2 linked regions of the Rattus norvegicus genome follow. The protein of the gene in region 2 interacts with the protein of the main gene of each other region in a biochemical or structural test. Links are inferred from orthologs where the notes say so. Each region holds a gene or a part of one and is shown on either strand. Other genes may lie near its edges.

What was found. The genes of interacting proteins can lie anywhere in the genome.
Region 1: the proteins of Supt5h (region 2) and Ccnt1 form a complex in vitro, tested with the Homo sapiens proteins (2 studies listed by BioGRID, with this or other methods). The link is inferred for Rattus norvegicus from reciprocal best matches to the Homo sapiens genes SUPT5H and CCNT1.

Annotation. Positions count from the first base shown.
Region 1 is NC_086025.1:131,569,360-131,573,009, forward strand, and holds part of Ccnt1 (cyclin-T1), read right to left. Parts: intron 2,714-3,650; coding exon 1,316-2,713; 3' UTR 1-1,315. UniProt on the Homo sapiens protein: Regulatory subunit of the cyclin-dependent kinase pair (CDK9/cyclin-T1) complex, also called positive transcription elongation factor B (P-TEFb), which facilitates the transition from abortive to productive elongation by phosphorylating the CTD (C-terminal domain) of the large subunit of RNA polymerase II (RNA Pol II).
Region 2 is NC_086019.1:92,742,075-92,745,824, reverse strand, and holds the start of Supt5h (transcription elongation factor SPT5), read left to right. Parts: upstream 1-1,379; 5' UTR 1,380-1,453; exon of another isoform or gene 1,454-1,695; 5' UTR 1,696-1,704; coding exon 1,705-1,779; intron 1,780-2,115; exon of another isoform or gene 2,116-2,209; intron 2,210-3,750. UniProt on the Homo sapiens protein: Component of the DRB sensitivity-inducing factor complex (DSIF complex), which regulates mRNA processing and transcription elongation by RNA polymerase II.

The DNA.
Region 1 (3,650 bases), on a different chromosome or scaffold from region 2:
ACGATCTAAACACTGTCTGTTAGCGGCCTTGCTCACTCGTTACACCATGCTGTTGAATTCCAACCGTCTCTCAAGTCAGACAGGCTGCAAACTGCAAGTGTGCAGTTGTTTCCCATTAGATAAACAGATAAAAAGCAAATCTTACATTCATAATGTAACAAACACAAAGTCTTCAGATTCCCAAATCACAATTTCATTGTCTTTAGTATCATTAACTCCCTGGCTTCTCCCAATCCTATTATCACACATGGTCTGGTTTTTCCAGAGAGGACAAGCAAGCATACCTTTCTTCCCTTCAGAGACCTGAGCTTTCACAAAGCCCAACCTGGATTCTGTAGGGAATTGGCCAGCCCTGCTTTTAGGCTTCTTCCTCAAGCCCACTTCCATTCCGCATTGAAAACTCAAAATGGAGTAAAAGGGAAGTTTCCATAATGGTGCTAGAGAGTTAGGGCATTGGCTACACCTGCCCAAACTAGAAGCTAGAGGGCTACTACTCAATTACAAGATAACCATGTGGCGAAGGGAGGGGAGGACTCACACTGTCATTACAGGCCTCTTTATAGCTTCAAGGCCAACTATGCTCTCTAATAGAATGTTGAGATGTGAAAATGGCTAAGAGTGGGAGGAAAAAGGTAACATGATTTTAAACGCACACACGCACGCACGCACACACGCACGCACGCACACACTTTAAAGATCTCAATACTTCAAGTGGCCTGAGCCTATTTCACTCTTGGCCAAAGCCTACCCTCCCGCCCAACCTGCACACATTCCCACCCTCCGACCCCCAGTCATTGCTATGTTCCTCATACACACAGCAAAATCCCTTTCCCCTTCCCAATTATATATAAAAAAAACTAAACAGATAACTTACTTTCTTTAAATTATTTTTTAAAAGTCTCTTAAAGATTTGACGTTTAAATACTTCCTCTCTTCTGATATGTTAAACCCCAAAAGAATCCACACTGCTGGACACGCCCTCCACATTCCAGTTCTGGCGAGAAGAGGGAAGAGAACTACTCCAATCAACCTAGTTAGGATGAGGAGAGGCCATAGCGCGTTCTTAGTCCTCCTTCACAGCTTCCACACAACCCTACCTCTCTAACACCGGTACCAACTACAGGTGTAGGAGGCAGCAGATGTAATAACTGAGGCCCTCCAGCACCCCCCACCTGTCTCAAATAGCAATCTATTCCTTAGGTGACATATTTCATAAGGGATGTAATTTTCGTAGTCTAGTATCAGTAGTCAAAACAAAAAAGAAAAAAACAAAACAAAAAAGTGTTTTTTGTTTTTGAAGTTTTTGCCTTTTTTTTCACTTAGGAAGAGGTGGAAGAGGTGGAGGGGGCTCTGACGGGAGGGGTGGTGGCCGAGGTTTGTCTGTGTTGCCAGATCTGGAGATGCCAGCAGCTCTCGGATTCATATATTCACCATAAGAATGGACAAATTCAAATGCAGGGGGCTGAGTGGGCTGAACACCTTGGGCACTAAGCAGGGAGTGGAGCATATTCACAGTATCTTGATAATCTATTGACTGAGTTGTGTTGTGACCGTTAGCCCCAGGAGGGCCTTTATCCAGTTTCACATGAGGAACTCTGGTTTTACAGCTAGGCTGTGAAAAGGGCAGGCCACTTGTGTCTGAGCTATGCCCAGGCAACTGGGTCATTGTAGGAAGAGGCGGGAAGGGGAAATTCAAGGAAGATGATTTAGTACTCTTGGCAATCTTGGCTGGATGATCAAATACTGCTGCCCCAGTCTCTTCTGGGGGCCCCCTTTTACGAGTAGAGCTTGAAGAAGACAAAGTACTAGACAAGCTATAGGTTTTGTGTGCTAAGGTGCTTGTCTGGCTGCTGTGTTTTGGATCACTTGGTCGTTTGCTCACAGGGCCAACTGGCAGCTGTAAGTGAGAGTGCTTGTGTGAGTGGTGGTTGTGGTGGTGGTGGTGGTTAGACGGGTGAGTCCTCTGCTTCTCTTTGTGCTCTCGGCTCTTGGCAACACTGTCTTCTACAGAGTTGTGCTTGTCACCTGCAGAGTGCACTTTAATGCGCATTTTTATCTCCTCCGGTTTTGAAGAGGCCGCTTTATCTCCACCAGCCACTGGGAGTCTCATTTTCAGGGCTGATTTGTCAGCCTTATCCAGAAAAGGACGTTCAGGATTTTCTGAGCCCTCGATGGGCATTTTCAGAATAACTGAAGAATGGCTGTCATGAGATAGGAGATTCTGGGCAGCATATGCATACTGTGACTTCACATTGGCCTCCATGTTCTCCAGCTGCCTCTTCTGAGCAGCCAGCTCTTCAGCGTGCTTTGCACGGTATTCTTTAAGTGAAACTTTAGCTGATGGCACACTCTTGCTAGTCTGCTTCTGGGAAACAAATGCATTCGAACCATCATGTTGCAAGGAATGATCAACTCCAATAAGTGCTAAATTCTCACTAGTCCGATGACCCTGAGAAGCCTCTAGTTTAAAGGGAGGTTGAGAAGACAGCCACCGCTCGCCTTGCAACATGTCCACGCTAGTTAGACTGCTCGAGGACTCTTCAGAGGCAGGCAGGGAAGGCACTGCACCTGTAGACGCGGCTGACATGCTCATTAAGCCTGCGATAGTTGTGTCTGAAGAGGTCTGAGAAATCATATTGAGAATCGTCTGCTCCGATGTGTTTTCATCCGCTCCCCGGTCATCCGGTTTGGTTTTCATGGCAGCCTGGTATGCCTAGAATGAAGCAACAAGCATTTTACTAAGTTGCAATACACGGAAACAACACCTACAGAGAACTTGTTCATGGCTTTTTGTTCCTTTGTTGTACTGGAGGTGGGTTTTTGTTTGAGACCAGGCATATGAGATCCTCCTGCCTCTACCCCTGAGTACTTAAGAGGCACTCATTTACACCGAGAAAAGGAAGCCGATCTTAAACATTCAGTATAACTGCCTAGGGCTGCGGCCAGCCTTTAAATAAGTTCTAGAAAATTTGTGAGGCTTTGTATGAAAAGAAAAGATTTAAGAAACTCTAAGCTTCTAGAGGCAAAAATTATAATTCGCCAAACTTACAATTAGTCTGAACTAATAAAAAATAAAGGAAATTTCTATGCATGGTGGTGCGTGCTTGCAATCCCAGCACTTAACCCCAGGACTTAAACCAGAGGCAGAGGCAAGAGGATCAAGAGTCAAGGTCAGCCTCCTAACAGCAAGGCTCAAGGCCAGCCGGAGCTCCAAGAGACCTTATCTCAGAGGAGCTGGGCAAAGGAAGGATCTAGTCCGTCTCTGAGTGCAGGTGACTGAATGCAGGGCCTTGTGCATGTGAGTGCTTCCAAGTCCGTCTGACACTGGCGGGAAAGGGAGGGACTCTTTCTTATTCATAAGACTAAGACATCGGCATCACAGCTCCACTGCAACCCACTGAAGAAGAAAGCCCTGGGTAAAGACCCGGCTCAGCAGTTAAGAAAACTGCTGCTGCTGCTGCTGAGGAGTTCTGTTCCCAGCAGCTCTAGTGGCTCACAACCACTTAACTCCTGTTCCAGAGGATCTGACACCTCTGGCCTCCACAGGTACTGCATGCACACAAATGCAGGCAAACACTCATACACAAAAATAAAAATCAATCTTCCCCCACCCCCAGGTCTCAGTATATGTAGCCCCAGGTGGTCTCAGG
Region 2 (3,750 bases):
GTATATAAATATATGTATTATATATTGTATACATACATATACACATGTTTATATGTATACACACACACGTGGGGTTCATGTATGCCATAGCATGGATGTAGAGGTCAGAAAACAACTTTTGGGCATTTATCCTTCTACCATATAGGTTCCAGGGATCAAATCCAGATCGTCAGGCTTCTCAGCAAGATCTTTTTTTTTTTTTTTTTCGGAGCTGAGGACCGAACCCAGGGCCTTGTGCTTGCTAGGCAAGCGCTCTACCACTGAGCTAAATCCCCAACCCTCTCAGCAAGATCTTTTATCTGATGACCCATCTCGGTGGCTCAAGCATGCTGCATTTATTTCCTTTTTATTTTGTCCTGCATTTTTATGTAAGTGGATATTAAGTATGCACGATGTCAGTGCACTACATGAATGTAATGTCGGCAGAGGCCAGAAGAGGGCGAGTATTAGATCCCGAGTGAAAGCGGGTTGTGAGCTGCTGGGAATGGACCCCAGAGCAGCCAGAGTTCCAGACAGTTGAACCATTTCTCCTGTTCAGGTTTTTTGATTTGTTTGGTTACAGTGTTTCACTGTGTAACTCTGGCTGTCCTGAATTATGTAAACCTGCTAGTTTTGTGCCTAACTCTTAACACGCCTTTCTGTTCTGCCCATCCTCAATCTTAAATCCGTAATCCGCATCAAAGTGGTTTTTCTCTTCAGACACACTAGAAGAGGGCATCTGATCCCATTACACATGGTTGTGAGCCACCATGTAGTTGCTGGGAATTGAACTCAGGATCTCTGGAAGAGCAGTCAGTGCTCTTAGCCGCTGAGCCATCTCCCCAGCCCCCTAAAGTGTTTTAATTGTCAGCATGGCGGCACACACCTTTAATTTCAGTACCAGGGAGGCAGAAGCAGACATGGGCGGATCTCAGGGAGTTTCAAATTAGCCAGGCTACAGAGTAAGGCCCTATCAAAAAACAAACAAACAAAACCAGGTCGTTAGTATACGTTAGTATACTATACTATACTGCTCTGCACTAAACTGACAAGTTTTGAGATTGTTTTGAGCATCGCCAGGAATTCGGATTTAACTTGAGTCTGGATCCCTAAAATCCAGGGGAACTCCTCAGAATGCCGAGGGTATCGGTGTGAAGCCGAGTCTCTGTCCCGTCACCTCTGACACCTCCTAGGGAAGCTTAGAAGGTTTACGAATAAACAGTTTACTCAATTCACGCCTGGGTTAGGAGAAGCCGCTTATCTTTCGACCTTCTCAAGATGGCGGCTCTACAGTCCGCTCGAGCTACTCTAGCCACTTCCGAGATGGCGGATCCAAGCGGCCTACCTCAGGGCAGGCCCGAAAAATCTCGCGTTAGGTGAGGCTAACGCGCCAGTTCTCGCGAGAGAGCGCTCAGGCCAGCTAGGCGTTGTGTGATCAGCAGCTGGCGCGGAAGCTTCAGGTGGACAGTGATCGGTAAGGGGGTTTGAGGCGGTAGGCCGGAGGGCTGGCGGGGGCTCGGGAGGTGTACCGGCCGCAGCCAGAGCCGGATGTGCGAGCTGGCATAGGCGGAAGGACTCGGGTTCGCGATCGCCTGGACCAGGCTGCCGGAAGTGCGCCTGGGGATTTTCTTCTCCAGTGGAACTTGCAGGGAAACTGAGGCTCAGGGTGGAGCTCCGGGTCCTGGGATGCGCTGAGGCCGCCGTTTTCCTCTGCAGTTGCGGAAGATGTCGGACAGCGAAGACAGCAACTTCTCGGAGGAGGAGGACAGCGAGCGCAGCAGCGAGGCGGAGGAGGCCGAGGTCAGTGCCTAGGATTCTTAGGGGAGACGTTGCGCCTAGGGACGGGCAGGGCAGAGAGGGCCCTATGGGAGCCGGGGAGTCGGAACGGCTGGGGTCTCCCAGGTTGTCGGGAGAGATGGACGAGTGTGCAAGTCAAGGTGGAGCAGAGGGACAGGATCCGGAAGGTGGGGGATGCGTTCAGACGTCGTTGGTTTTTTTTTGTCACGTATCTGATTTGCTTCTTTTTGTTTATTTTTATTACTTGCGGTGCTAGGATTGAGTTCAGGGCCATGCTAGGTGCACACTCTCGTCTAGTTAGCCTCAGCTCTTAGTATTCTTTCGTGTTTGTGTTTTTAGGTATGCCCAGTTGTTCCAGAAGTGTATACGTATTGCCTACTCTGTGCCAGCCACAATTGTTTGTCCTTGGGCTCCTGTTAACAGATTTTAAAATGTAAATCGACAACTGATAAGTGAACATGAATTTGCTAATGTGAATACATATAGCCAATTAATATAAGACTCCTAGGTTCAGCATTACTAATCTGAAAATCCAAATTATTTTGTAACTTTGAGTCTTGTATTGATGCCCCCGAATGGAAAATTCCACATGTGACAGGTCAAAGTCAAGACACTGTGCACTAAAAATACTGTATTAGATTACTGTACACATATATGAATTTCACATATATGAATTTCATGTATTGTCCCATCCTAAGGTATCTTATTGTGTATGTGCAAATAATCCAAAAATCCTCCAAGATCTGAAATACGTATATTTTGGATTTTTAAAATTGTTCGTTTGCCTTTTTTTTTTTTTTAAGGTTTATTTACTTATTTATACAAATATACTGTAGCTATCTATCTCTTTATAGATGGTTGTGAGCCACCATGTGGTTGTTGAGATTTGAACTCAGGACCTCTGGTAGAACAGTCAGTGCTCTTAGTCCTGAGCCATCTTTCCAGTCCATTCGTTTGCATTTTTTTCCCTAAAGATTTATTTATTTTATGTATATGAGTACACTGTAGCTGTCTTCAGACACACCAGAAGAGGGCATTGGATCCCATTACAGATGGTCGTGAGCCACCTTGTGGTTGCTGGGAATTGAACTCAGGACCTCTGGAAGAGCAGTCAGTGCTCTTAACCGCTGAGCCATCTCTCCAGCCCTCATTTGCATTTTTGAGGCAGAGTTTCTAGGCTTGGCTGGCCTTGAACTCAGATCTGCTTTCGTCTGCCTCCTGAGTTGAACCGCTTGAAATCTGAAATCTATTCACATCTTGTCTGAAACTGTGAATTAAGGATAAGGATATGTGGCCTGAGATAATCCTTTCTAGTACTCTGGTGAAAAATCCAAGCACAGAAAGGGAGTAGAGGATCCTAGCTGCACTTTCAAGCAGTTGGTCACAGTGAGTTAGAGTGACATTTGAATGGAGAGTTCTGGAAGAGAGGGGTAAGTCATATGGCTATATATTTTTTCTTTTCTTTTTTTTTTTTGTTTTTTGTTTTTTGTTTTTTGTTTTGTTTTGAGATGGGATCTCCTAAATGTAACCTTAGTTGGCCTAAAACTAGCTATGTAGGTCAGGCTGGCAGACTCTATCTGCCTTTGCCTCCCAAATGCTGGGACTAAAGATGTGCCCCACCATGCCTGACCCTCCCTGCCTTCTTTTAATAATGGTGATAGAACTCAGGGCTTTGTACGCATTAAGTATGATGTACACAGTAAGTATGAGCTCTGCCACTGAGCTACATCTTGTTAAATTTAGCGCGAGGAAGGGGGCTCTGTGTGTGTGTGTGTGTGTGTGTGTGTGTGTGTGTGTGTGTGTGTGTATAGGGAGTTAGTTCTTGGGCTAGAACCTCACAAATACCAGCAGGTATTTTGTCACCCAGCTGTGTCACCAAGACTAATTAACTTTTTGTTTTTATAATTTTATTGTATGTGAGTGTTTTGTGTGTATGTGTGGCTGTGCCACATGCCTTTGGTATGTTTTGTGTGT